Linked DNA regions of Rhinolophus ferrumequinum. The protein of the gene in region 2 interacts with the protein of the main gene of each other region in a pairwise test. Links are inferred from orthologs where the notes say so. Each region holds a gene or a part of one and is shown on either strand. Other genes may lie near its edges.

Region 1 (10,236 bases), on a different chromosome or scaffold from region 2:
CCATGGTAAGCCACACCACACACATGAGAAAATGGTTGAACTTGAAAAAGATGACAATACTGAGTTAAAGAGAATATGGAACCGGGCATGTAAAATGAACGCGAAGGCATTTTGGCAAATCGTTTGGCACTTTCTAGTGAAGTCAAGCACACACTTCATCGTTTCTATCATTGCAAGAAATAAAGGCAAGAGAAACAAAGCATATGTCCACACAAAGACGTTTGTGTATGAATGTTTACAGCAGCCTTACTTATAACAGCCAAAAATGGGAAAGAACTGAAGGGTCCACCGACGGGTGTGTGCATCGATTAAATGGTGGGATACCCACACAACACAACACCGAACCATTTGGCAAATAAGAGAACCACTGAACAAGGCAACCATATCAATTTCCAAAACACTCTGTCACGTGAAAGAAGTCAGACACAAAAGTGTTCATTCGGGGAGGCCGGTCAGCTCAGTTGGTTAGAGCACGGTGCTCTTAACAACAAGGTTGCCAGTTCAATGCCCACATGGGCCACTGTGAGCTGCGCCCTCCACAACTAGACTGAAACAACTACTTGACTTGGAGCTGATGGGTCCTGGAAAAACACACTTAAAAAAAAAAAGTGTTCATTCTTAGGATTCATTCATGTGAAATTCTAAAAGAGTCACTGAATCTACAGAAACAGAAAGCAGTGCCTGCTGGGGCCGGGTGGAGGGAGGACGGACCGACCACGAGGCAATGAGGAAGCTTCTGGGGGTGACCGGAAGGTTCTACATCAGGATTCTGGTGTTTACCAGGGTGTACACATCTAGCAGAACCCACCCAACTATACACTTAAAACAAGTACATTTTATTATATGTAAATTATACCTCAAATAAGTTTGCTGTAAAACAGTAACAGTATATAATTCCAAAGTCTTGCCCTAGCTTCTAATACCCTGCATGGTCCGAGCCTGTGTCTCCTGGCCCTCCCATCCATGTCCCACCCAGCACTCACTCCCTGGCCCGCAGAAGTCATTCCAGGTCCAGCAGGGGCAGAAGCTGAGGAGATCGGTCAAGTTTCTTACCTCTTCGGCCTCAGTTTCCTCATCTACAAATGGAATGATAACAGTACCTTCCCTAAACGGGTCTTAGAGGATTTGAAGAGTTAGACATGCAGCATTTTCAGTGTCTAGCACAGGGGTTAGCGAACTACGGCCTGCCACCCGTTTTTATGTGGCCCATGAGTGAAGAATGGCTTCTACACGTTTTAATTGTCAGGAAAAACCAAAAAAGAATATTTTGTGGCACATGAAAATGACATGAGATTGAAATTTCGGGGTCTATATGTTTACTATGTGGCCCTTCACAGACCGCGTGTGACCCCTGCTCCATCAGGGTTGTGCGACGCTGTCCTCAGCACGGCTCCTGCTTGGCACTGGCCGTTTCTTCTGTTGGGAAAGTTCTCCCACCAGATCTTAGGATCGCTCTCCCCTCTTTGTAACTCAGATCATAATTTGAGTGTTACCTCCTCAGAGGTCTTCTGTGGTTACCGTCACCCTCTATCTCCCCACCCTCTCTCATGTTTGACACCGAGGTGGGCGTCTGTAGAACTAAGCTTTCCTGCACCTCTTCGCCCTCCTTTCTCAGCCTGCTGTGCTGGCAAGGCCTTGCCCAAGGCCAGAGCCTGGAAAGGGTAGGGGTAGTTTCGCTCTCCCTTCCACCACCATGCAGGGGTTCAGTATGGTGGTGCGTGGTGTCACGCCTGCAAAGGTGGTCGGGACAGAGTTTGGGGGGCTACTCTGCAAAGACAGGAACATGTTATCCTCACATCTGTGGGGAAGGATTTCATGGAGGAGATACGAGAATCAGATTTGCATTTCAGGTCACTCACTCGCTCACGTGAGGAAGATGAAGGCAATGGGCTGGCAAGAGCCAAGAAGACAGCCAGGGGCAGCTGCTGCCACCAGGCTTTTTGGCTGAAGGATGGGTAGGAATGGCCCGGATCAGGGACATTTAGAAGGAAGTTTTGGGAGAACCTGGAGGTGAGGGAAAAGTTTGGAAGTGCCACCCAGATGTCTTGCTCTGGCTAACGGGTGGACTCTGGCAGAGGCACCAGGGCGGGCACTCTTGGGGCAGACACAATATGCTGGGTCACCAAGGGTTCACCCAAGACTCAGATTCCCAAACTGCATGCAGTGGGACCAGGGGTTCAGAAATCCCTCACAGACCCCAACGTTGAGCCCACAGGTAACCTCTTTCCTAGGTGCTGGCCAGCTCAGGCATGCCCCAAGCAGGTGAGGGAGAGGCCAGGACTGGCCAGGACCGGCCAGGGGAAGGGGCTCCAGCCAACAGGGAGGAAATCCAGCCTGGGCATCAGGAGGGAGGCCGGGACCTGCTCATGCTTCCTCGCCCGCCTCTGAGAGGAGCTCAGGTCGGGGAGGGGGGCAGCTGGCCACTCAGAGCCACACGCACCCATCACAAGGAAGAACACAGGGCTGGCCAATGTGCAGGCTCCTTCAGGCAGCTACCAGCCCTTCAGGAAACGCGGCCCCAGGTGGGGGCTCTCTCGGTGCCCCTGAAGTGGACGAGGCAGCAAGGTCAGGAGCACCAGACCTCTTCACATGTCCCACAGGGAAACCCCAGTCCTGCCGGGGGGCGCCTGGCGGTCCGGATGCCCAGGAAGGCTCACTGCTAGGCCAAGGCAGAGATGGGAGCAGTGTGGTGCCTCTACAGCCACCTCCACCCCCGAGTTAAGGGTCCAGGAAGAAAAGGCAGGCCCAGAGCTTTGGGGAGGGCCAGCCTCTCTCTGGAGTGAGTCCACACACGCCTCCCCTCTCTGCAGCCATGGAAATTAATCCCTTGGTCACCTCGGCCTCTGACAGCCTCAGGGCAGCGAGGGGCCCAACCCACTCACGGAGCACCTCCCACACAGCACGGGGCCTGAGTACTTCTCCTCCTGACCCCATCTGTGAGGTGGGGCCCGGGATCCCCACTGCAGGTGAGGTCACCTGAACCGACGCAAAGCTAAGGAGCTTGTCCCAGACAGGTTCGGTTTCTCCGCTGGCCCACCTCCAAAGCCCACACAAAGCCCGTGCGAGTCACTTCCCTGTGGGCCTTCATTTCCCCGCTGAAATGGAGAGCATTCTAGAGCTGCCGGCCCGACCAACAGGCTGCAAGAATGCAAACCGTTCCACATACAGGTAAACCACGAGAAGCCCTTCCGGTGGCCTTCACGGGCTGTCACTGCCAGAAGCCGTTCTCCACCCTTCGCACCTACTGCCCTGGGCCTCATCCACCGCGTCCGAGCGGGGCCTGGAGAGACTGCTGCCCTGGCCTCTCCGCGCTGGCCAGGTGTTTCCTGAGGACGCCCCATCTGGGCTTTCCTCCTCCCCGTCTCAATCTGGTCTTCCCCCCTTTTCCTTTCTCTAAGCTCAGCCTCCCCTCAGGCCTCGTCTCTCCCCCGGGGCCCGGCTCCTCTCCCCCCTGGGGCCCAGCCTCCTCTCCCCCGGGGCCCGGCCTCCTTTCTCCTCCCCGGAGCCCGGCCTCCTCGCTCCCCCGGACCCGTCCTTCTCTCCCGCCACAGGCCCCGGAAGTCTGAGCCTCACCTTCCGCCTCGCGCAGTCGATCGGATCCGGTCCACCGGTCAGTCAGCCCCGCGCTCCTGCGGGCGCCGCAGGGGCGGGCCCCGCGCCCGGCCGTCGCCATGGCAACGCTACACTTCCGGCCCGCGCGGCCCAGAACCGGAAGCCGAGGCGCCCCGTGGGAGCTGGGGGCGGGGCCTGCCCGGAGCAACTAGTGGGTCTCTGCGGACCGTGCCCTGTGAGCCTCTCTCTGGCAGGGGCATCCTTGGCGTGGATGGGGTCCGGGTGGGGCGGGAAGGGCAAGTAGTCAAAGGCTCCCAGGAGGGAGGTCATTTATTTATGCTGGGCTTTTAAGGAAGGGCCGGAGTTCACCCGACAAAGCAAAGGCATGACGGGCGGAGGGAACAGCAAGCGCAAAGGTGGAAGGACCCAGTGCATGGGGGAAATGGGAAGCAGAGGTGATGGTTTAAGAGGGCGGGGGCGGGGGATGAGGAGTGTGGTCAGAGATGAGTAGTGAGAACACAAGGGTCCTTGACCGCCAAACCAAGGAGCTGGGCATTATCCTGGAAGCTAGGGAGGGCCAGTGGGGAGAGAGGGTGACTTAAGACGTGTAGGAGAAAAAGACCTCTTTGCTGACCAAGGGGGGCTAGGAGGCCATAGGTAGTAACAGCCTAGTGAGACACAACAACCCCTGAACTAGAGAACCTGGGAATAGAAAGGAGTAGAGCAGGTGACAGGAGTTCAGAGGAAGCCAGGTGAAGTCTGAAAGGACAGTCTGAGATAGTGGGGGAACAGTGGTACCCCACAAACACACATTATCTCAGCCCCAGGCTCCTTCCTCCAGTGTACCCACCCTCCTCAGTGCCTCAGAATGAGGAGGCACACACTCTATGCTGCAGATTTTCAACACTCTAAGAGTATAACAGGGTGGGGGAGCTGCACAAGAAAAGCTGGATTATTGGAGTAAAGTGATATAAAGTGTATCTCTGCTCCTGTAGCCTCCCTCAGTTCTGAGGGCCCTGATACCAACACCAGCCACCACTGCTAGTGCCCTGGGCCTGATATCCCTTGGACAAACTTGCCCAGTGTGTGTGTGGGCGGAATCTGGGCTTTGAGGCAGGGTACAGAGCACAGGCCTTGACTGACCTCAAGGGCAGAGCCACCGATCCCATAGCCAGGAAGGAGGTGAGGGGACAGAAGAGGGTGTGGTGAGTCTCTGGGCAGCTGCCAGAGGTGTTTTTCTAGGGCCACAGTTTCAGATCAGTGCTTTCCCTGCTAAAGTCCTCAGAGGCTCTGACCAGGCCTGAGCAGGGGTCACTGGTCCCTCAGGCTTCCCCAGCCTGAGCCTTCACTACCTCTCCTAGAGTGCTCCTCTTCCACTGAGGCCAGCTTCCACCAGTCTGGGGAGCATCTCCCTCCCTCTAGACTAAGATTCAGGGCCCTGTGGCTGCCTGGGAAGCCCTCCCTGTGCACACACACAACACACCTGCACTCACTCCCACCCAGGGTGGAGCCAGGTGGTCCTCGAAGGTTCTCCTGGGCAGAGACCATGACCCATGGATCTGTATCCGTGAGGCTTGGCCCAGAGAGGTGGCCAGTGACCCCCTTGGGAAAATCCCTTGAATCAACTGTGTTCATCTTTTGTTCCTGAGGTTTCCTCCAGGAAGCCCTCCCAGACCACCACTAAAGTCCTTCTAGCTGCTTGGCCTTGAACTCTGGGTAGACTCCACCCCTCCTTGGCAGCTAGGGCAAATCACTTTCCTGTCTGTTAAATGGGAGCCTGGGACCCAGCCCAGACAGACTGATAAAGTAACCATGGGTCACAGGCCCCTTCCAGGGGCTCTTCCAGCTTGTGCCGGGGCAAAGGCAGCCCAGGAGCGAGAAATGAGGCCTGGGTGGCTGCCTGCAACCCCCTCTGGAATCTTTCCTGCCCCTCCCTTCCAGATTAACCGAAACCTGCTAATTGTGGCAGCCCTCTGCATGCTCCCCTCCCCCACTGCTGTATTCCACCCTCCCTTTGCCTCTCCTCCCCTCCCCCTTCCATCCGAATGATAAAGGGCCCAGCCGGCCTGCCCCCACCCGGCCTCAGGCCCAGGCTCTGCCTCCCCATTACTGCCCCACTTCCCCGTGCCCTCCACCGGGCCAGCCCCCTGTCCACGTTGCCGGCCTCCCCTTCATGGGGCCCTGCAGCAACCCAAGCCTGGGGCATCCCGGGAGGGACTCACCCTCCCAGGCCCCAAAGAGGAGGAAGAAGAGATACCTTCGGCACGACAAGCCCCCCTACACCTACTTGGCCATGATTGCCCTGGTGATCCAGGCAGCACCTTCCCGCAGGCTGAAGCTGGCCCAGGTGAGAGGGTGCCCCGCTGTCCCTCACACTCCTTGGTGGGACCTTTTCCCAGACCTGTCCCCTACCTACTCCGACGCTCAGGCTCTGATCTCCACCCCCACCTGGCCTCGCCAGCTATGCCAGTGGGTCCAGTCCCGACCTGGGCACCCCGAGAGAGAGCTGAGATGCTCAGACAGGACCCTTCCCGGTGAAGTGCCCTCTTCTCCCGGGCGCAAAGGTGTTGGGGGAGCGGCGCAGGGGCGCCTCAAGCCCGGCTGTGGGGGAGGGGCGGCGCTGCCCCCATCGGCGCCCGGGCTGACGGCGCCTGCCCGCCGCCCCATGGTTTCAGATCATCCGTCAGGTCCAGGCCGTGTTCCCCTTCTTCAGGGACGACTACGAGGGCTGGAAGGATTCCATCCGCCACAATCTCTCCTCCAACCGATGCTTCCGCAAGGTGGGGCAGGGCGAGGGTCGGGGTCGGAGCGTAGCCGGGGCCAGGGCGGGGGCGGAAATCTCGAGTATCCGGGTCGCGAGGCCCCACCAAGCCTGCACCCCTACACCCTAGGTGCCCAAGGATCCTGCGAAGCCCAAGGCCAAGGGCAACTTCTGGGCCGTCGACGTGAGCCTGATTCCCGCCGAGGCACTGCGTCTGCAGAACACGGCCCTGTGCCGGCGCTGGCAGAGCAGGGGTACCCGGGGGGCCTTCGCCAAGGACCTGGGCCCCTACGTGCTCCATGGCCGGCCCTACCGACCTCCCAGGCCGCCCAGCGAGGGCTTCAGCATAAAGTCTCTGCTGGGGGACCCCGGGGAGGGAGCGCCAAGGAACAGCCCAGATCGGGCCGGTTCCCTGCCAAGGAAGGAAGAGGTAGTGCCCACACCACCCCTGCCCTCTGAGAGGCCTCTGTGGCCCCTCTGCCCCCTCCAGGGGACCATGAGAGCCGAGGGGGAGACTTCCCAGGTGGGAACCAGCAGGCCCTCGCCCCTCTCCCCTGAGCCAAGAGCCTGGCCTCTCCACTTACTGCAGGGTACCCCAGACCCTGGGGGACTGTCCGGTGGGGGTCACAGGACCTCACTTTGGGGGCAGTTACCCACCTCCTACTTGCCCATATACACCCCCAATGTGGTAATACCTTTGGCCCCACTACCACCCACTTCCTGCCCCCAGTGCCCACCCTCAACCAGCCCAGCCTACTGGGGGGCTCCTGAACCCCACAGCCCCCCAGGACTGCTCTGGGACCTAGATGCCCTCTTCCAGGGGGTACCACCCAACAAGAGCATCTACGATGTATGGGTGAGCCACCCCCGGGAGCTGGCTGCTCCCACCCCAGGCTGGCTGCTCTCCTGGTACAGCCTGTGAGGCTGCAGGCCAGGGATTGCTTTGCTCTCCCACTCCCTCCTGCCACCAGTGGCTTGTTCGGGGGGGGACCAAGGCTAAGAGGACCAAGAGGTGTCTGTGGCCACAGCAGCCTTGAAATACCAGGCACCAGCCCTGCCAAGAGTCCACAATGTTTATTGGACTACCCCACAAAGGGTTGTGGTGACCCTCTGGTCACCACCCTGGACCTGATGGTCAGCCATGCCTCTCCTACTCCCAGAGGCAAGACTGGGGCTCCACTTAGAGTAGCCCTTCCTGGTCTCACCTTCTCTGGCCCTCCGTCCATCCATCCATCCATCCATCCATCCATCCATCACCATCTGTCACCTCCCCTCCCCTGGCTCCGGGCTGGGGGAGGGAGAACCTAATGGCGGCTCCAGCCTGAAGTCCTGGCTTCCCTCAACTGTCTGGGAAGGAGGTAGCACCTTTTGGGGGAAAGGGCATAGGGAACAGGGACCATACCTGGTTTTGGTGGTGGTAGTGGGGAAGATAACAGTAAAGGAACAGACAACATTTAATGCCAAGTCTTGATTTTTGATGGCGACTGTGGCAGCTCTGGGATCCCCTGCCGGGTGCTGTGATAACAGCAAATGGTGATAAGGAGGGAACTGAGGGCCTGGGCTGAGGGGGCCGGCAATTGTTCCTCGGGGCGGAACACTCGTCGCCGGGAGCGGGGGAGGGGAGCTCAAGTCAAGGAGGTTGTGGAGGTGCAGGGACTTTGCTGCCTCTGCCGGCAGAGGCGCTACCCGACGCTTTGGGCATAACTATGAGGGCAGGTCCTCTGGGTGCACGAGGGCCGAGCTGGAGCAGCTGTCGGGGCCGGGGCTTGGGCTGCCAGGGGACGGTGTGGGGGTGCAGGGTGTCCCCGTGAATGGTGTGTCGGTGCTAAGGGAGGAAGGCGTCCCAGAGCGCGGGACCCTGCGGCGCCGGGCCGGCCCCAGCTCCACTTTGCTCACTCGCTCGGCGAACTTGAGAGAGCACACGGTCTCGCCGAGATCCTCGGGCCGCGTGGATATCTGCGGGGAGCGGCTCTGGTGGGCGGGCCCGAGTGGGTGGCGCCTAGCATGCACACCGCCCTCCCGTGGCCCTGGGCACCGCCCCACGCCGGGGCCGCGGTCCCCACCTGCAGCAGCAGCAGCGCGGTGGTGCCGGGGCCCAGCGCCGGCTGCAGCAGGCGCGTGAGCTGCGAGTCGCGGAAGGGCACGTGTGGCCGGTGGGCTCGCAGCGCAGCCATCACGCCTCCCAGCGCCAGCAGCGAGCGGTTGATGGTCCGGGCTTCCCGCAGACGCTGGGCGTTGTCAGGGTCTCCCTGTGCCCTGCAGATGGCCCCCGCCTTCCAGGCACGTTCCGATCCAGCCAGGTCCACCAGGTGCAGTGTGCCTGCAGGGGCGGGGGAGCCCACGTGGAGGGAGCTCCGGTCTCTGATGTAGGGACGCCCCCCACAGGGCAGCGCCCGGACCGTGGTACCTGCGGTGCCTGAACCGCGCGGAGGGGACGCCGCGCGCAGCGTCAGCGTGACCAGCGCGTGCGAGCGAGAGCTGTGCTGGTTCATGGCGGTGGCCGCAGTGGCTCGGTTGCTCCTCCCCAGGCTCAGCATCTGAGGACGCGAGGAAAGGGCTTGCATGCTGCATGGTGCTGCTGTAGGGTCCACACCCCTAGGGGCGAGCACAGGGCAGAGCCTTGGAGGTCTGCGCGGCCCCCTGCGCAGCCTTACCTGCTGCAGCGTCTCCAGGTTGGGCACGTCCCAGTAGGTGAGGCCAGCCACCTGGATTCCCCCCTGGCCTGCTGGGCCCTGCCTCACAGCCAGGCGCTGGGGAGGCCCCGGGGCTAAGAGGTCCCTGGTGAGAAAGGGGAGGACTTGGTTCCGGGGTTCTTGCAGGACAGGGCGGTGCAGAAGGGCTAGAGGCCAGAGGCTGGTAGGAGGCAGCAAGGAATGGCTGACCTGACAGCCTCGTTGTAGATTTCCACCATGCTGAGAGTCACGCGGTGCTGCCCTCCAGCCCTCATCTCCCGGAACAGTGACTGCAGTGCCCTAGGAGCTATGCCGGGGTTCTCAGGTGGGCCCTGGGGACGAGGTGGGGTGCCACATCTGTGCTCACGTCCCAGCCCCTGGCCCCAGGAGCCACCCAGATTCCCCTCTTCCCACCTCCATGCTGTAGGTCTTCCCGGTCCCAGTCTGGCCATAGGTGAAAATGCAGACGCTGTAGCCTTGGAGGCAGGACAGCACAGAGGGCTCCAACTCCCTGAAGACCTAGAGGTGTGGGGGGAGGGGGTCCTGAGCTTTGGAGCCTGGGGCAAGGTGTGAATAGACTTCATTTCCCTGAGAGGATGGCTCTGGGGGAGCTCCCTGGAAGGCAGAGGAGGCTCCTGGAGAAGACGGCATTTGCAAGAATTTGCCAGGCAAAGGCAAGGGGCCTGACAGGAGGCGAGATCAGGCAATGCAGGGTATTGACCACCACTTGAGAGACCTGGGGAGCAAGTCAAGAGCCCAGACTGCCAGGTTCAAGGCCCTGGGTGTGATTGGAGGTGTCCCTCTGTGAGGTAGGGGCTGTAATGACATTTGTGAGGGTTATGGGGTAACCTGTGCAACATAAAGGATGAGCCCAGAACGGCCTATGGGTGGGGCATTGTGGGATGCTGGACCATCAAGATTGCTAGAACCTGGGCCCTGGGAGGGTGCAGAGAGGCGGCTGAGGGGGAGATGGGGCTGGGATTGTGTCCTGTTGGCAACTGAACACCAACAGCAGCCTTTTGAGCAACGACATTGCCAGCTTTCGTGCCCATAATGTGCTGGTAACTGACTGGGCTGTCAGTTCTGCTTGAAGTGAGGGCAGAATCCAGAATTTCTCGAGGTCATTAAGATCCCATGACTGGAAGGAAGAACTGGGTGTGACTGTGGTGCCATTGCAGAGATGCAGGACTCGAGTGATGGGGTTGGTGACAGAGACCTTGGGTTCTTTCATTCACATGTGCTGAATTGGAG
Region 2 (9,697 bases):
TGTGAATTATATCTAAATAAAACTATTACTTAAAAGGAGGACTTTAATGTAGTTTTTTAAAATCTATTTCATTTTTCAAATCCTTTCCGTTTTTTAATCTTCAAAAAGACACATAAGAGGAAAACTTCCTATTTGCTTAATCTGTTAGCCTAAGTAAATTGTAAGAGAACATGATCCATAAGAAAGGAAGGGAAATGTACACAAAATGATCACAGCAGTTCCACCAATTCAGATATCCGACAGGTTGAGATAAAGTGAAAAATGGATTAAAAAACAAGCACACACACATCCCAAGATTTTCATAAAGCTATTAGTGAGCCAAAAATATAAAAACAATCATATTCTGCCACAGAAGTATACAGAGTGCTAATATTCTACAATTCATGATGTAATATTCAAGCTTAGCTTTGTACCAAACTAAAAGAAAAAAATTTTAGGAAACTTTTCTATCATAACAGCAAATGGCTTTTGAAGTATTTGTGAAGACATTTCAGTAACAAAGAAAAATGTTCACAATACTTGAAAAATAGACCTGTAAAGCTATACTCTAATGGTGCAATGTATATAAATAAAAATGTATCAAAATTTCAACAAGAGTTATCTCTGGATTGTGGAATTATGGAAGAATTGGGTTTTCTTTTTTCCATTTATACTTCTCTGTTTCACAAATTTTCTACAAGAATGCTTACATGTATAATCAGAAAAAAAGCAAGTCCCAGACACAGTTTTATATATACGTGTGTGTGTGTGTATATATATATATATATGACATATGACATATATAATAGGCATATGTTAATTATTAACTGGTACAGCCCAGTTTTTAAACACTTGGATCAAGTCAGTGTTGGGAACAGAGCTACCACTGTCTTAATTAGCGGGAAGCTTCTTCCATTTCACCTCCTCCAAAATACAGTCAACATTTATAGTTTGAATCAAGTCACAGGTGACTCTGCTATACTCTCACTGCCATCCTAACTCCTTTTGGAACTCACATCAAAGTAAAAAGTTTTTACTGGATTTTCCAGGATACCATAGGAACTAGCTTCAATTTAAACAATCAGTCAAGAATACTACGTATAATAAGCCACAAGAATGTGGTAGCAGGGTCACTCACTACAAGGGATAGAGTGGCAGACGTCTTTGGTTATAGTTCTAAGTGAAACTTAACCCAAGAAAATATACTGAAGGAATATGCACCATCCAAACATCAGTATATTGTTTTATTTAAATAATAAAATTGTTAAAATATTCTATGTACTTCGTAAACATGGCATCAATGATATGCCCACACACACACACACACACACAAAAACACAAAGCAAAACTCATAAAATATATTTACCGAAAGTGCTACAGCTGACTGGCAATTTAATATAATAAAAAATACAGAATCAACAATATTGTGGAACTCAAATCAACATTTTAAAGTGAGATCAAGCACTGCTAATTTCCACTCCCCCTATGTAGAGAAACTGTGCCCAATTGTAACTTGTATGTTCCTCTAATACTAACGAATTTTTCACTGTAGCTATTCTGCTAGGCAACTTTTACAAAATGCCATCACTTGAATTTGAGTTAAATTTAACTAGCATGTAACATCACTGAACATCAAGGCAGACATAAAAAATTTCATTTGAAGACTAAAAATAATTACTTATTAGAAACTCCAAGTCTGTTTTGGATGCCTTTTAACCGGTTTAGATTTTGAAAGGGGAAAGGAGAGGAGGAGCCTGGAGAATTTAAGAATCTCAGGGAGGCACTGTTAAACTAAATATAATTCCTGGGATTAAGAAGTAATGAAACTCTACTGATGGGAGTGTGTTGAACATATCAAAAGAGAGGAGGCTAAAAAAGCCTGAAAATCACTTGTTTATACTGGGAGGTCAAGTGAAGGGACTGCATCTTATCTTCAGATTCCTGGTGACTGGCACAAAGCAGGTCAATAAATGTTTGCTAATTTAAAAACAGAAAATGTCTAGACTAGGATTCTAAAAAAAAAAAAAAAAAAAAAAAAAAAGGAAAAATGATTGTTTAAAACCAGAACCACCAAACATTTAATTTGAATTCACAAAAACAAATGGAATCACTCACTTAGCCAATTTTTTCCCAATAACCTTGAATAATCCACTAGTGAAGATTCTTAAGTTATCTATAATCATAAAACGGTGCATTTGCCTTACACGGTTTCAGATCAAACATTTTAAAACACATAAGTCTACTATGTTTTATGCATATAAAGTATATAAATACGTAGGTATATGGAAAACAAAAGTGGAGAAGTTGAAATTTTAAAAAACATTGACATTTACAAGCCTAGTTTAAAATGTATAAAAATGATGGTGGGCCTAAACTTTCCCCAAAGTTAACAAGATATTAAAAATTTTAAATAGCTATATTTCCCTCTTACAACAACATACAATTACAATATAAAATTTTTGGCAAAGCAAATGTCTCAATATGTTCACATCTGTTAAAAGCCCACACACAGTCGTAAGCAGTGAACACTGACTGCAGGCACCAGGGGGCCTCCCAGGAATAACTTCGTAGGAAAGGAAAAGGTAAAGAAGAGTTCCTGGTAAAACTTTGCTTTTTATTAAGTATTAGACGGCTGGGCGGCCTCCACATCTGGAGCAAATATACTGTAGTTTGTACACAGAACTGTGAGATACCGACACTGGTTGGGAAAAAAAGGGAAGGAACTAGCGCCCCGCCCCCCATCATACAATCTCTGATGATTTTCCAAATGTTAAGTACAAATTGCTTCACTGTATCAATTACCTTCAGGTAATTTGAAAGCAAATAATAACAGATAGTGCATATGTAATCCTTGGACTTCTGGCAGAAAAGATTCTAAAAATTTTTTTAAGGCTCAATTTTTTTCCCTACACTCTCACAAAGCAATTAGTGATGACGCAAATTTCAGGGTGAAGGGATTCACTGGGAGAAGACCGCGATTAACTTTGAATATCTTGGCATCTCCATCTCTTTTTCTCAATCCCTCACCCCAACATAAAACCATTCAAAACAGAAGGGCCTGGGAACTTGAAAAGCTGCGAAGACTTTCAAAACACAAGAGAGGCTTTACAACAGACCTTTGCTAAGTTTGTGCCGAAATTAAATCCTGTTCAAACCTGTTAAATTCTCAAACTTGAAAGCCAATCCCTTCGGCAAACCTGTCTACGTATTCCATATTTCCTGCGTGCATCTTCAACTCCGTCAGTCTTTTTACTATTTTTTAAGCAAAATAATGGGAGGCACTCAACTCCCGCTGTTATCCTCTCCTTAAATAGAGTTCCTCCTATAGCATCATATAAAAATGCAGAACAGATCAAACAAGCATCTCAAGAAGGTTTTTATAAAATTCACTCACGGAACAAGAATAGGAGGCAGCCAAGGGCAATGCACAAAGAACAGAGAAGAAATACACGTTCCATAGACAATGCACGGAGCACGCATCCTGGCACCCTCCTTGGGAAGGGTCATCCAGCACCCCTGGTCTCCTCGCACCCTCAGGCCGGCGCGTCGCCATGCCAGTCCCCGAAGGTCCGGGGACACTGCCCACAGGGCCCGACCGGGCTGCCCGCCGGGACAGCCCCTCTCGCCCTGCCTACCCCCGGCTAACCAGCCTTTTGCAACCCTCCTCGGCGGCCGCCACAGGGCGGGAAAGGGGGTACCTTCGGGTTTCGGCGACCGAGGGGAAATGACTTAGGGAGGCGCCCCCTTTCTGCGGCCGGCCGGGCCCCCACTCACCCTCCAGCAGTCGGGTGATGAGACTGTCCACGTTCAGCTCCCCGTCCGCCATCTTGTCGGCAGCAGACGCTCCTTCCCAGCAGCGGGAACAAGGGCTTCTCGGCGGCGGAGGCTGCGGCGACGGCTCGGCGTTCCCTCACCTACAAGTCACGCGGCGTTTCGACCCCGGTTCCAGCTCCCCCTTTCCCCCGGGCCCTCCCCCCACCCCCTCCCCACCAAGTAGTGGAGCGCGCGCACTCGGAGGTACACACAGTAAATAAATAAATAAACAAGCAAGCGGAGCCCCCAAGAACCCGGCCGCGTCAGACCCAGCCGCCACCTCCTCCTCCTCCTCCTCCTCCTCCTTCTCCTTCACGGCACCGCCCAACTCCGCAAAGCTCACCAGCGCCGCCGACGGCCTCAACCGCAGCGACACTCACTCCACACCGCCCGGCCCGGCCACCGCGCCACGCAGCCCGCGCAGGCGCACGGCGCACGCCTTCGCGGCCACCCCTCGCCTCCCCGGCCTTCGCGCAATCGCACTGGACTCGGTTCTCCCGCCGCCGCCACCGCTGCCGCCGCCACCGCCGCCGCCGCCTTCGCGCAGGTGCGTCGCCCTCTCTGGCCGCTTCCACTGCGCCGAATCGACGAGGCAGCGCAGGCGCCCCGGAGGCTCCTGGGGTTTGCGGCGCCGGAGCTCCCATTACACGGAGCGCGCGTAGGCAGCTCTGACCTTCCCGCTTCCCAGCTGCCCAGGACCGGGAGCTCCGGAGGCATAGTTGTTCCCTTCCCGCTTCAATTTTTTTTTCTCGGCGTCATTCCCTGGTTTTGCAAGCGATTCTTCCTGTTTCCGTTAACCGGGAAACGCGGACGGCGTTACCCGTGTTTGAAACTCGGGTTTACGCGTTTGGAAAGCAAAAAGGGGTTACTCTGCGGGAAAACTGTGGCATTGTTAATAAGTTTTATACGATACCGTTCCACAAGGCTAGTTGCCCAATTGTCCTTGGATGACATAGTTACAGTAGGCTCCGCATCAGCAATAATATTTTACATGAGTACCACTTTCTGCGTTCTATAGTTTGCTTTCACATATCTTACATCTTCCGCTGCGTGGATACTATTTTTCCACAGTGCGTTTTTGTCCATCCCTCCGTTAGATTGCTTAATCATCCACCTTGTGATCGTGCATTTATCTCCTGCACTTGACTGTGACCTCCAGGGTAAACCCACCAACTGTCTGGCGCATAGAAGAGAGGGACAAAGAAATACGAAGGCTCAGAAAGGTTGTTTGTCCAGCTGTTCTTTCCACCACAGTAGTCTGCCTCTAGAAAGGCAGGAGGGATAGTGGGCATGCAAAGGATCTAGATGAGTCCGACTTTTTGCCCTTTTCTAGGAGTTGGTCAGACCAAAGGCCTTTTACTCATTCCTCAAGTACAACTTTGTCCAGAAACTCAGACAAGATGCTATCCGAAGCTCAAGGCAGTGCTTCTGCTCATGTATCATTCATAATAGCTACCATTTATTGAGATCCCTGTATGTGCTCTGGCACTGTTTTAGATGTTAACATGTGTTATCTCATTTAATCCTTAACACCAGCCCTATGAGGTAGGTATATAAATTCTGAAAAACTACTTAAATATATATATATATATATATATATATATATATATATATATATCTTTTATAAAATTGAGGTCATGCTTCATTTCCATTTTATCCTACTTTGATAAATAAGTTTTGGTGCCACATTTACGTGAAACTCAGTGTTCAAAGTTTATCTGTACTTTGGATAAGAAATTGAGGACAGAGGAAGAAGTAAGGGGTGGACATCCGGAGGCTGCAGGTAGCAGCCGCAATAGTGGCAGTTGGGACCACAGTAAGGTTCAAGAGTAGGTGAGTAGGTACCAAGGGGAGAGAAGCCTCGTGTGGCAGATACACTGAGGAGGCTCTTGACTGAAGTGTGAGCACTGACCTAAGGGCAGAGTGGAGGTCATCAGTTAGGGAAGCCAACAGTTTAGAAGCAGAGACAAAAGAAGGCTGCCAGTGGTGTAAGAGACATTGGCTGGACCAGGCACCATGGTGAGCACTCAAGCCTGGAGACCAGCAGACCGTGGAGCAGCAGACTGGCAAGTAGTGGTTTTGATTGCATGCATATAGGAAACTGCCTCCTACTCTTTTTGGACATGTGAAAAGACTTAGAAAAGGGATCAGGGTAAGGTATTGCTCCTTGTTACACTGGGATTGTTAATCTAACAGGTGGAAGGGCAAACTATTATCTGGGACTCCCAATCCAGTGGGCTTTAGATAGTGGTGTGTTGGAGCCAGTTTACTTTGGCTCATGAGAACCACTTGTTAAAACTTTTAGGAATTTTGCAAGCCAATTGTTAAACAGAGCTATTATTTTAAAATTAAATTATATGGACTTACAAATAAATTATACAGTACTAAAAACAAAGGTAATGATTACTCAAAACATCACATCCTATTTATGTTGCTACATTTTACTATTATGTATGGAAGTTGTTTGCATCTGTTTTATCTCTATTGTGGGAATACTATATAATCATATGCTACTATGCATCTCTTTCCATCTCCTTGTTCAGTGACATCATGTTGACCATGGTGGGAGTAGTTACACCAAGGAAATTAGCACATGCTACAAATCTATAGTTTTTTCACCAGGACGCTGGTTGTTAAACATTTACCGCATGTCAATATCCTTGGGTAATTTTAGAAATGTCTGTGCAGGGAAATTGGATGTCCTGATTGCAAGGGGCTTGGGAAATCTTGATGGTGGGTCTTCATAAAATCATGATCTTATTTGAACTTAATAACAAGAAATGTCTGGGACATGCCAGTGCCCATTAGCTAAAGACAGACCAGTGCTTAGAGGAACCCAACCATCACTGTGCTGAGACCAGAGAGATGTTTCTAGGGATTGTCCTCAAAGAAGGCACTTTGGAACACAGGGAACAATAGTCTCATGATTTATTTTTTGTAAACACAGCACAGACTTTCATAGGGATGTTTTATATGCCTCTCAATATTGGTCAGTGGCCAATATAGTGTGAAAGTGAGTAGGTTTTAATAGCAAAATGTGGAGGTTGTGATAGTGATAGCTCTTTGCTGCCTGACTAATCCAAGATAGCTTATAAATGCATGGATGGATATTCATTGGGTTGTCCTTCCATAAATGTGATACCTCTTAATCAAGTCTTTAATAAGTCTTAAGTGGCAGTAAGTTCTAAATTTTACCAGATATACCTGGAGGGCAGCCATTCTGTATATCAAATGTCTTTGGCTTTTGTAGTCAACTCAATTCCAGGATATTGGGAAACCAGACAAGGATATATGCTTCAGTAGAAGCCTATCCCTCAATACAGAACCAGGCCTAGGTGGTATACCTGGGCAGTGCGAAGATTTTTCCTTAAGATTTAGTTTTGCTTTCATTTCAATACACATATGAGAAAATCATCAACTGCCGAAGTTATCAGCTAGGTCATAAAGCATGTCCTCAGTTATTTTATTTTTAATTGGGGAATATTGGGGAACAGTGTGTTTCTCCAATTCCCATCAGCTCCGAGTCGTCCTTCAATCTAGTTGTGGAGGGCACAGCTCAGCTCCAAGTCCAGTCGCCATTTTCAGTCTTAGTTGCAGGGGACGCTGCCCACAATCCCATGCGTGAATTGAACCGGCCACCTTGTTGTTGGGAGCCTGCACTCTAATCAACTGAGCCACCTGGCCGCCCCTCCTCAGTTATTTTTGCCCCCAAAATTATAAAGCCAGATATAACCAAAAGCCTCTTCTCCCTTAGCCAATAATAGCAGCCTGCTTCCTCCCCACCCCCACCCTCACGCTTCTGACTTCCCAACGTACACACAGACTCTCACTGGAGCATCATCTCTTAAGTTCTCTAGTGTATCCTTCAAGATAAAATGACTACAAAATAAATGCCTGATAATTGGAAGGAGTTAACTGGCTGTATAAAACTGTTAACTATAAGGCAATTAAAATTGATGGGCAGCTACCACAAAGGATGACTGTTAAATTTTTGCAGAGTTGATCCATGGCCCTTCTTTTTCTTGTAATTAGATTACAGGGCCAGCTGTCTATTTAGGTCATTCCTAGTTTGTTACAATAAAACCATGTCATCTACATACATGAGATTGTTTCTCTTTCAGTGCTTTCCCATCCTGCTCTTTCAAACAGATACCAGGAAGTAACTAAAGGTGTTTGTTGGTGAAGAAAAGTATATAAAATGTGACATTGTGTTTCAAATAAAACAATTTAAATACTTTGTTTCTTATGATGGTTGCTCTCCTCATACAGTATATCCAAATTATGCATGAGGCACCTTTTCAGTTGGAGAAAGTTTATTTCTGAATTGTTTCATAAGACTCTGTTTCAATTGGTTTTAGTAAACAAGCAAACAAAGCCTTATTAAGTTTTCTAATGTAGTTATAAAATGAGTAATCTCTTCCTTAAGACCACATTAAAATTAATGGCATGTAAAACTAAAACTAAAACCAAATGTGTCTGTGAGCTGTGAAAAATATTTATTGCAATGACATCCAACACTGTAGTCCTTTTAGGTAGGAAACACTGGTTAAATAGACTATTTATGAATTATTATTCAAATGTTGATTTAAAACAAATCCAGTCTATTGTAAATAAATTCTTAATTGAAATGCCCCAATGGTATTTGTTATTTAAAGAAACTTACAGTGACTAGACCTTGAAACCAAAGTGAATAATGAACCAATTAAGTATTTATGAAACATTCAGTATGTTTGATTCCATGCTGGGGAAGACGTGATCTTCCCAACTTTTAAGTGATTTAATGACTATGTGAGGAAAAGACCACAAAACAATTTGGAGAGTGGGAAAAGCATTGGCTCAGAGGTAGGAGACCAGAATAATTGAATAACTGTAAAGAAATCTCTCTATCTTTCTGAACCTTGGCTTTATTACCTACAAAATTAGTCCATTGATAAATGATCAAAGTTTCTTCCAGCTTTAACAAGTCTTTGATTCTGGGAAACACAAATGAAACCCAAAATGTAACATAATATTGTACAGGCCGTCCCCAACTTAGGAACTGGATCAACTCCAAAAGGTCAATTGTTTGGAACACAGAGTATATTTTCCCACAGAGACTGTGGTACAAATGGTGGTTAAATTCCCAGATCAGTCTGCAAAATCAATTTAATCCTGAATGTAACTGTAGAAGAGTATCCATGGTAATATGGACTCTAACCACCAATTATAACAAAGTTTATGGGGAGAAGCCATTGAGGATTCTAATTTGGCATGGCAGAAACCATCTATCAGTGTTTGCCACCACCCTGAGCAACAGGTCGGAATACAATTCTAGTTCTAATTCACAGGCAGACTGGGTACTAAATGTGAAACAAAGACTAGTCTGGTAGCTTGGACAGTGAGGGAGGCTCTGATACCTTGGATCCAATAAGGGGGGTGGGGAGGCTGAGGGTAGTTCATGGTGTCTGGGGGTTTGGTTGCCAGGAAGAAGTTGGCTCCAAACCAAAAGATAAGGAATGTAAGGGCAGATGGAAAAAGGGGAGTGAACACATGTGCTGGGAACTTTTTTAAAAAGATACAATTACTTTTCAAGTTATTCACTGTGCAGTTGAGATCAAGGAAGGTTAAATTGCATTCATTTAATAGCAAAACTAGTGCTTAAATCTAGAATTCTTAGCCCAGATATCTCTCTCTCTCTCTCTCTCTCTTTCTTTTCTCTCTCTCTCTCTCTCTCTCTCTCTCTCTCTCTCTCTCTCTTTCTCTCTCTCTCTCTCTCATTTTTACTTGAAAGCCATCACACTGTGTAAGGACCTATTCTTGTCATCCCTTCTCCTTCATGTGCGGGAATCCTTAGGACCCTGCACCCCCATGCCAGCCTCATCCTACGTTCATCCTCTGGTCTTCCAGAACAGCCTGGTCCATGATC
Region 3 (10,248 bases), on a different chromosome or scaffold from region 2:
TTTTATGGGTTTGCAGAAAGATCAACCCCAGAGAAGGGGTGAATTCCCAGAGCCTGTGAGCTGTGGGATGTGAAGCTTCTATAGGTGACAGAAACTTCTCAGGTAGAAAGGGCATAGATGGCGGTTGCCTGAGCTTCATTCCAGGCCTGGAAGGGGGCATTACTGAAACCTGCCTTGAGCAGCAGCTGCAGTAGGTGGTGAGGGCTGGACTTCCACAGAGGATGACCACAAAAGAACAAAGGGCCTGTTCCCAATTTGGAGGAGTCGTATAAGCCAAGTAATGTTAAGCTTCTTGCTGGTCTTGGAAAATAGAGGGTTAAGATCCATATTTTATTATATTTATAATAATCCAGAAATGTGACTTTTGTTGCACTTGGGTTTTTGTGGAGCAAGTCATCCTAGTTACACACAAAGTGTTCTACGAAATCTTTAGGGTAACTGCCAGGCAGGCATCAGCGTTCCTATTTTACAGATAAGAAAATAGAGTCACAAAATTGGGACGCGAATTTTCCCAAAGGTCCATAGCTTATTGTGGCAGAGTCAGTATTCAAATCCAGAAACACCACATGACCAAGCTCTTAACCACTACATTTCATTATCTCTAGGGTTCAACCTTTCATCTTTTTATGTGTCTTCCTAATAATTTTAGCAAGAAGTTAAACCACAAACCTCTTCCAGGTTATAATATGTTTGTTCTCGTAACATATGACTTGGGATTGTCCCTGAAAGTTGATAGGTAATGCTGATCTATAACAAAGAGAAATACTTATTTACTAATCTTAGGAGAGAGAAATTTCTAGATTTCACACGAATAATGACCAAACAAACAAACAAACAAATAAACAAACATAAAAATAGAAAAGGAAGGAAAAGAACCAGGGTGAAAATCAAGGAAGAAAGAAGTAGTTACTACACTTTCGAGTCAATGAGACTTGAGAAAAACAGGAGACAACCGAGCCGAGGAGGGGATTCACATATGAAGATGACCAAAGAATTACCAGAAGAAAATAGGGATGATGCCAAATATCTTTGCTAAGGCTTAATATATGGTTAGATCCATTCCCAAAGCTTAGATGAAAACAATGTCCAAGTCTGGCTTTGTATATTTTATAGTCCTGGCTACCTACCAAGTAAGACTCATCCTCTGGTTAGTTATCAGGTGGTTGTTTCGAGGGAAGTGTAGCTTTATAGCAAAGTTGAGCAGCCTTTATAACGCATGCACTATTGTCCTCTGCTTTTTATAACGCAGTAAGTAAAATAACGATATTAGATAATGGCTCCCTCACTGCACCCCGAGATGTGTGCCTCCTTGGAAACATGAGCAAGGCCAGGGGCAGAGAAGGAATATTCTCAACATGTGGTGACTTCCCCGATGTAACTGCTCGATTTCTAGCTCCAAAACGGCCAGTGGCTCTGTGTGGAGAAATCGTTACCATGAGTTTCGAGAAGGAAGAATGCAGTCTTTAAGTCGTAATTCTCTAGAGGATATCAAATGATCATAAGGGAAACCATGAAGTCAGCTCAGCTTCTGACTCCACATTTCAAAGAAAAAAAAGGAGTGATAGAAAATTAAAGGTTGCTGGAAAACATAGTGGCACACATTTAGAAATCACTGTGCATAAATACTTAGTTTTTTACCTCATCCCTCAAGTGAGTCATTGTTTTCTTAATACAAATTATATCATTGCCTGTTTCTAAGAGTAAGATCCAGGAAGCATTGTAAATATCAGGATAGAACCGGCTGAAATACAATTGTTTACACAAAGCCCTAAAACGCTTGCTGTATCTGAAGCATTTGCTTCCAGGCACGCAGCAGAAACAGCGCAGACCTAAGGGACAAGGCATGCAACAGCCAAGTGGTCTGTCCCAATCCTCAAGGCAGCTCGACATGCTGTTCTCCTCCCCAAAATGCATGCCCCTTGTCATGAAATTCTGGATGCTATACGTTGCATCATATGTATATAGTTACATGTTTAAATATAATTTATGACCACACCAGTCATGAACAGGGGATGAATAACCAAAGAATATAAATATATACTGGTTTCTGCCTAATTCTTTTTAAGCCTGTGGCAAAGCGGTATTCGCTCGTTCCCAGTCTCTCCACATCTTCTCTCTGACCAGCACCACTTAATATCATTTAAGTCAATAATATGGGTTATGAAGTCCCCATTCCTAACACAAATTGGCTATGTACTTTGAGATTCAAAGTTAAAGCAAAAGACAAGGAATGCAGCTATTTTCACCCAGGTACAGAGTATATGACTCATTAGTCAAAATTCTCATTTTTTTTTTTTGTAAGATGAGGTATGTAATTTGCCTAAAGTCCACAAACCAGGACCTTATTAGGATTATTTAACTCTTAATTTTCTCCAGTAGTGGGAATAAAAAGTCAATACTAATCCTTCTGAGAACAATTTGGTAATATAAATCAAAAGTCTAAAGAAGGTCTATATTCTATGGGAAATAGGGTTATAAGAAATAATCAGGGTTCTAATCAAGATGGCGGAGTATGTAAATGCTGTGCTCACCTCCTCCCATGACCACATCAAAATTACAACTAAATTAGAGAACAATCAACGGGGAGAACTATCTGAAGACTAGCTGAACAGAACTCCTATAACTAAGGATATAAAGGAGAAGCCATGTCAAGACTAAAAAATTCTGAAGTTTACTCTCCTTCCCCCATGCTCCAAAAAATATAAAGATGCTTATCAAAGTGTATTTACAGTACAGAAAATTTGGGAAAAGAAATCTAAGTGCCCCACAATAAGAAAAGTTAAAGTATGTTCTCTTTGTATGAAGGAGTAGTATGCGGTCATTAAAAAGTATGTCCCAAAATTTATAATAATACTAACATACTCAAAATGAGAAGCAATCATGAGTTTAAAAATTCAGAAATTAAATTTTATATGTACTATGGTTGTGATACTATAATGTTTATACATAGAATAAATACTGGGGAAAAAAGACAGTGAATTATACTGGTAGTTATTGCTGGGTGGTGCTCATCTCTACATTTTTCTGTATTTTCCACAATGTTGACAATGATCTTGTATTCGTTTTATAGTCATAAAAATAATTTAAAAATACAAATGAAAGATATCATACCAGTTTTGTACAAAGCACTGCACAAGGTATGAAGCTGTGAAATAAATGCTGCTCTGTATATGTAGCTTTTAAAAGAGTGGTCCCTAGATCAACCTCACTCAGGAACTCAAAAGCTCTCAACAGTGAGGAAAATGCCCAGCTGGACTCTCAAAGCTTTGATGTGTAAACCACTTAAAGTCTTCTCCCATGCTAAGGACCCATCCTCCATAGACAGAGGAGCTTACAGAATCCCTCGGTTGGTATTCACCTGACTATCCCATAAGACATGATCTAGCAAGTCACTTTCTATCAAATCTGAAAGAGGGGCAGAGGGCCCCAGGTAACCTGATGCGCCCAGAACAAGTCCGTAGCTCTGACAGGTGCAAACAACTCCACTCGTCTAAATATAAACTCAGGCAGTTTGGAAACAGTCTTCCCCCTTTCTATTCTCATCAGGCACAAGAATGTTCTCTTCTTTAGTTCTGACTCTTGGTGCTGGTTATTTTTATTTAGATTCGCTCTGCAATACTTTTTATTCAAAGAGAAGCAATGTTATAACTGTAAAAAAGAAAAAAGCTTTCTCTTCTAAAATCGTGGATGAAGATATGACCTCGGTTTGGGCTGTTTGTGAAACGTGTTGAGAAGGAGAAAAATCATTTACAATATTTTTTAAAGCTTTCTGAATGAGCAAAAAGTTAACGTTAAGACATGCATAAAGCAACACTGTCTAATATTAAAGCCAGGAAGAGGACTTAATTTTTAATCAGCAGAGTAGAAATTCTTTGTGGGAACGTAGAGAACTCTGCACCTTTGCACCAATTCCTGCCATCCTCTCTCCTGTCACACTGTCACACCTCTAAACTCTAACTCCCCCTTCAGGACACTGCTCCGTGGTCACTTGTCCAGTAGCCTTTTGGGACTTGCCCCACTCCCCACCCCCACCTCCACAGCCACACATGTGCAGTCTTCCTCTTAGCTCCCCAAACACAGAGGTTTACCTTCCATATATTTATCCCACATCATTATTTAACCTAAGAGCTTCTCGAGAGTAAGATTATATTTCATTTTTCCATTTCCAGCACCTACACAGGTTTACAGTAGTTACTCAACGTATTGTTGAATGAATGAACAAATGGTTACCAGAGGACTGAAGGAGTCACTGACGAGCCCATATGCAAGGAAGAAGACAGTGCTACCACTAATGGACACAAAAAAGGAAAAGTTTATGGGAAAATGATAATTAGCTATGCTCAGCCACTGCCAATCTTTTAGGTTTAGTTAGGGGGAGGGAGGAGGGCTGATTCATTAAATGAAATTTGTAACTAAAATACCAGGTATTATAAAAGAAACTTGGTATGCATTGACTAAAGGGTTGAAATTGTCCATTTTTACTTTCTGCTATAAAATGAGAGGGTGAGGCTAGATCTTGTCCAAGGACCAGACCAGCTGTCAGGTTCTGGGGCTCTGGGCCTGCTATGAATTCTGCTGGAACAGTCCTCCAGAGCTTGCACCCCAGTTCTATTCTGATCGCAAAAGAGACTGTGCTCTTTTCAAACTCATAGACGCCACACTCCTACCTACCAAGGCTGTGGTGTGCCACAACTAAGTTTAGCCCCACACTCCAGGTCTGAAATAGTCACCTAAACCACAGGGGAAATTATTACCCATGGTTTCCTCGATCTATGTAAGGAAGATGCTTCCAAACCCTCATGCCATAAAGTTGTATTTACTTGTCCCAACTTCTGCCCAGCTTGGTTCAGATCACCCTTTGCCTGGACACATTTTGCAAGACCTATTGGCTCTTTATCTGCCCACTCCTGCAGCATGCTCACTACACTTGAGAAACGGAGCCAACACTTGGCTTAATAAATCTTCAATGTACTCATCAGCTAATAAAAGGGGAGTTAGAATTGGGAAAGGGAATATTGCATAGAAACTTTACTTGCCAACCACCTACCAACAGTTGATTTCACAGGTGGTCCTTTATCAGATTTGCCTATTGAGAGAGAAGGAAGAGGACTACCGACCGTCCTTCACACACGGAGACTACGTATGTCTGGGGAAGCTCTCTAAGCTGGAGGCCCGTATTAGATCATTGTAACCGACTAGAGTTTTTAGTCTTAGATGCTTAGATTAATTTGATTCTTCTCAGAAGGTGCTGCACTTTAATGAAAATGAAAATAATAGCTAATGTTTTTTCCTCCACTCTCCTTTCTATAACCAGTGTTTTAATGTTTGTGTGTTCTTTATAAAAGTTAGATGTGATTCATAATCAAAATCTGTTTTCAATATTGGTATGTATGTAAACATGATAATGCAGCCATTTTTATACATGAGTATAAATACAATAGTATTTTTAAAAGTAAAAAAAATAAAATAGAATCTGCTCTTATAGCCCTTTAAGCAGAAATTTCCAAATACCATATTCAACATGATGAATTTTCATATCGCTAAATGTTTCCAGTGCAAAGGACTGGCTTTTACTCCTAGATTAGGTCCTTCATGCATTTTGTTATTATTACTGTTAAAGAGAACTTTTTTTAAAAAAATAAAATGATAGTAACAGAAGATGGTAAGGTTTTGTTCTAATGTGTTCACTCCGCACTTTAAAAAGCTGGCAATCCTATATCAACTTCCAAAATTCATTAAAATTAGAAAACTGGGATCCTCCTCCTTAAAGTGACTAGCTCAAGGCTGATCACAAAGGAGATCATATATATGACTTTATAAAGATATATTTAAATTGATCTCATAGGAAAGGAAGAGCTTCTGGTCTCTTCTAAGCTCACCATTCTCTACAGACCTCATGATGTATCCTAGAGATCACAGAGGCCCTGTTAGATCCAGGTCTTTTTTTTTTTTTTAACAGATTCAAGTCCTTTAAAATATACCTACATGATAAACCCTCAACTACATATATGCTGTACTCTGTGAGATGGGTATTGGTCCTTTGCCCCAATAGCAACTTTCTAAAAAGAATTTTACTGTATTCCTTTCACAGTAACACCTGGACCTTGACTGCACAAAACAAGCGAACGATAATTGTTTTGACACTATCTCGGGAGCTGGGAACACCTATCCCGGAGAGACGGCCGCCTACATCGGAGAGAAACACAAGTATTCTCTCAGGGCTTCTCCAGGGTCCGCAGGTGGTAGGGGAGGTCATTTTCATGTGGGAACCCCCCAACTAAAGTGTAGATGAAAGTGGGGCCAGCGGGACAATACAGGAGGGCTTTGCCGGCTAGGGCTTTGCGTACGTAGCGGGACGCTTGTGTCCAGGTCTCGCTGTAATGGGATGCTGTTCTGTAGGAAAGTGCCTCTGCTCCCTGGCGCCCGTCCCTGGGCTCCTGATGAAATAATGACCTGCCGCCCTTCCCAGCCCCTGGACTGCGGCCCTATCACTCCCGGCTCTCAGCCGATCACGTGGAGGAGCGGTGCTCTCCAGGACCGCGGCTCCACCGCCATTGGTCCACAGCTCTCGTCCCGGGCACGCCCATTGGCTGCGGGGGGCGTTCACGTGAAAGGGGGTCTGGGATGGCATCCCAAGAAGGGAGAGGTGGCCAAAAAGTTAAAGGGAGCAGCGCGGCGGTGAGTAGCCCGACTCCCGGGTAGCGGACCGCAGGGAGGAGGCAAGCGGGCTGCTGTTGCGCACGGACGGATGCGGCTGCCAGCGGAGGGCGCGGACCTGAGTCCTGGCCCGCGCTCCTGCTGTCGCCCCCGCTGCCCCTGCTATCCCCGCGCGGATGCTGCCGCGGGCTGGCGCGTTTGCACTTCGGGGCTTATGAACTCTACCAGGTACGTCCTCCCCAAGCCCTGGAGTCCGAGTGCGGGACCGCGGAAACCGCGATGAGGGGCGCGCAGTGAAGACCCTCTTTGGTTCCTGCCATCTACACTTTCTCCGTCCAACTTGCAGTTGTACTCCAGGAGTGGAACACTCTAGACTGGTTCCAGGAAGCTGTTGCTTCCACGTGGGAAGAGCAATTAATTCAGGGACGAGTGGTGGGATGGGCCCCACGTGTTCCACCGAGATGCGGTCGGGGCCGCTAGGGGGCCGGGGGAAGGGGGGAAGGGTCTGGGGCTGGGACCCCAGATACCGTTGCTCCCTGTTGTCCTTGGTTCGAACCTGGCACAACGCGTTTCCAGCCTGGGGCCTGACACTTCTGGAGGGTGTCTCCGGAGTTGGGCGGTGGTCTGGAGCACAAGGAAAAGTTGCTTCGACTCTCTCCCGGCCTTGGTTTCCCCATAAACCTCAAGGGAACACCTAGTCTCTCAGGCCCCCGAAGGCGATGGGACCTAGAGCGCCACGATCGCCGTGGGCTCCAGGAGCCGGGTCACCCCCAGTCCCCAGACTGGGGCTGTCCTGGGTCGGCAGGGACGAGGCGGCCCAGCCCCACGGGGACGTGCGGCGCCGCTCCGACTGGTGTAATAACGTGGACTCCACTTCCTACTCCTACACCTTCTCCTCCTCCTCCTCCGGGAACCGGATTTAGTCCGGTCGCGGCGTCCTCCCCTGCCACCTCCCTCCAGGCTCTCCGATGCAGGGAACGAGCTGGAGAGAGAGCTGCCCCGCGGCCCCAAAGATTGGTGCCGGACCTGGAGAAGGAGGCTCGCGGAGGGGTTGGGGGCGGGGTGCAGCCAGAGAGGGGCCGGGTCAGAGAGGGGGCCGGGTCAGAGTGATCTATGGGATCTTCCAGCCTGGACACTCAGGCTTGCCCCTGGCACTGTGTTCATGCCATCCTTTTGAACACGGAGAAGGGCGTATGGATTAGAGGGCCCAAAACGACATGCTAGAAGATTTGGGGCCCGTCATGGCATTATTTCCTGCAGAAGAAGAGAAAATTGAGGGAAGACTACTTGGGGACTTGAAGCGGTGCTAGAAGGTGTGGTGGGATCCGGTGGGTTGTGTGGCCCCGCCTCCTTGGGAGACCTAGGGTCCAGGAGAAGAGAGCATTAGGGCTTTGGGCTGGGGTGCAGAGGAAAAGAGGAAATGGTTCATTTGGCAGGGTTGTCCCGGAGCCAAGATTGAAGCAAGCCAGCCGTAGGCCTTCCCACAAAAGTAAAGTTGAGGTATTTAGGGAAAGTTAGTGGGAAGAGAAAAACCATCAGGTATTATGAGCAACCAGAAATGTCAGAGCTAATAGGGACCTCGGAGGAGAAAGCTCAAGCCCAGAGAGGTTGAGTGACCTGCACCAAGTGGCTCAGCTAGGTGGAGGCATGCGCAAGCCAGTGCTCTGTTTCACGTTGGACATTTTTAGATAGCAGGGACTGTGCCATTTTAACCTATCTCTTTTCTATAATATGCAGCCCCATCCACAGATGATTATCTCAAAGATGTTTTAGATGATGGTGACAGAATAGAGGAGTACAAGTGGCTTTTAAGACTGTGAATAAGGGCCCCATTGTCTGAGTACAAAGGGGAAAATGTCAACTTTATTCATACTGTGTCAACCAAACCTTTGGGAGGGGATAAAAGAATGCTGAAGGGGTAGATGGCCATGTCTTCAAAAAATAATCTGGTTGTGACTGCTTATCTAGTGTAGTTTCAGTGTTCCTGGGGAGTGTGTGTGTGTGTGTGTGTGTGTGTGTGTGTTGGGGGTTATTGGTGTATCTTATTTTTCTGTCTTTGTTTATCAAAGTACAAGAGAATGGAAGGGGAAATGTTTTGGTCTCAATACAAAAAAGAAAATAAAATAATTTCCTATGAAAGGCACAGCCAGAAAGTAGCAGCTCAGCTGCCTGAAACTATGAAGGTCATAGGGTTATTTTCTGTACAAGCCTATATAGTTTTCACAAGAAAAAGCACCATGACCTCTAGCCCTGGCCAGCTGTCTTGAGATGGTGTGTTATTTGTCACTGGTGGAACAAGGAAAGATTTATGCAAAACTATCCATTTTCTCTCTAATTTTCATGGAGTGTTAGAGTTGTCCTCTTTTGACCAGGAACGCTGCAATCTAGCCTTGGGCATGGCCCAATCCCTCATGGGGCCACACTCATCTCCGGCATCTATTTGGAAGCAAAGTTTTTGAGCATCCATACTGGTCTGAGGAACAGCTACTCATATTCTCATGATCTTGTCCTTCAGCGAACTGGTATCCAGGTCCTTTGTCATGCTCTGCTGGGTAAAATGTGTGTCCATATCTTCTCATTCTCTTTTTTACCTTGGCCCGCCTTGGGGACTCATATTCCCTGGTACGGGCAAGGGAAAGGGCTGGAGTAGCAAGAGAGTCTGTCAGGAGAGGGGGCCGGAGGTACAGCCTGGTGCATTCTGCGTTGGAACTGATCATTTTCCTGCCATTTGAAGATAAAATGTCTGTCTAAGTGCTTTCCTTTCAGGAACTTAGGCAACTATTACCTTGTCCGTCTCTGTTGCTAGGTCTCCTTCTGGGTGAGGGTCATCCCTGTCACAGGCCATGGGGGAGTTCCTGAGAAGAGGGTCAAGAAGGCCTACAACAAACCAGCATTTGGGTGACCGATTCTCGGAGAATGTCCCAGTTCATACAAACTGGAATCTATATGTGAGAATAGGCGAAGTGGTTGACAGATCCTAGATTGAGGCCCCAGAGGTTAATGTCCTCACCGCCAGTTCTGGTGACACACAAAGTAAAGGGATTCTAAGCAGGACTTGCTTGTGCAATGCCCCAGGGCAGTAACCCTTAGGCCTCCAGGTGATTAACCGTACTTTTTGTCTTTCATGGAAGAATGTTGCAAAATCGATGAGGCTCTAGAAAGTGCCAGTGGAATTGTTTAATTAGCTCTGGCTCTGACTAGAACCTCACCTCCCGACCTCCAGTTCCACTTGTACTCACAGCTTCGTGGTAAAAGGGATCTTGGGCAAATTTACAGCACTGGGTCCAAACAGTGTAACTTTACCAAGTCTTCAACTAAGTCTTTTTAACCTGCAGGATTAGAACTTGAGGGTGACTTTGGTCAGCTGCAAATGTGCAGATTCTTTAACTGATTCCCTTATTTTAGAATTCTGTTTCCACAATATCTTGAGAGCTTCCCAGCCTTTTTCTAATGAGCTGTTTTAACGTGCAGGAAAGCACGTATGAGGCTGGTTTGCAGGCTAGTTGGCCAGGCAGAGAGAACTTGCAGTTGACCTTGTGCTGACTCAGGCAAGGAGGAAGCTGCCGTGGCCCAAGGAGGAAGCCCTCCTCC

Evidence for each region.
Region 1: the proteins of PPP1CB (region 2) and PPP1R16A interact in binary tests that used the Homo sapiens proteins (3 or more experiments, as listed by UniProt). The two-hybrid records come from large-scale screens. The link is inferred for Rhinolophus ferrumequinum from reciprocal best matches to the Homo sapiens genes PPP1CB and PPP1R16A.
Region 3: the proteins of PPP1CB (region 2) and PPP1R3B interact in a two-hybrid assay, tested with the Homo sapiens proteins (2 studies listed by BioGRID and IntAct). The link is inferred for Rhinolophus ferrumequinum from reciprocal best matches to the Homo sapiens genes PPP1CB and PPP1R3B.

What each region holds. Positions count from the first base shown.
Region 1 is NC_046297.1:73,170,844-73,181,079, reverse strand, and holds the start of PPP1R16A (protein phosphatase 1 regulatory subunit 16A), read right to left. Parts: upstream 3,708-10,236; 5' UTR 3,574-3,707; intron 1-3,573. Other genes in the region: FOXH1 (forkhead box protein H1), read left to right, coding at 5,726-5,899, 6,228-6,332, 6,444-7,235; kinesin-like protein KIFC2, read right to left, coding at 8,018-8,269, 8,377-8,850, 8,968-9,091, 9,196-9,317, 9,400-9,504. UniProt on the Homo sapiens protein: Inhibits protein phosphatase 1 activity toward phosphorylase, myosin light chain and myosin substrates.
Region 2 is NC_046296.1:52,232,135-52,241,831, forward strand, and holds the start of PPP1CB (serine/threonine-protein phosphatase PP1-beta catalytic subunit), read right to left. Parts: upstream 4,271-9,697; 5' UTR 4,136-4,270; intron 4,080-4,135; exon of another isoform or gene 3,894-4,079; 5' UTR 3,806-3,893; coding exon 3,754-3,805; intron 1-3,753. UniProt on the Homo sapiens protein: Protein phosphatase that associates with over 200 regulatory proteins to form highly specific holoenzymes which dephosphorylate hundreds of biological targets.
Region 3 is NC_046287.1:68,531,327-68,541,574, forward strand, and holds the start of PPP1R3B (protein phosphatase 1 regulatory subunit 3B), read left to right. Parts: upstream 1-6,541; 5' UTR 6,542-6,748; coding exon 6,749-6,885; intron 6,886-7,763; exon of another isoform or gene 7,764-7,970; intron 7,971-10,248. UniProt on the Homo sapiens protein: Acts as a glycogen-targeting subunit for phosphatase PP1. Facilitates interaction of the PP1 with enzymes of the glycogen metabolism and regulates its activity.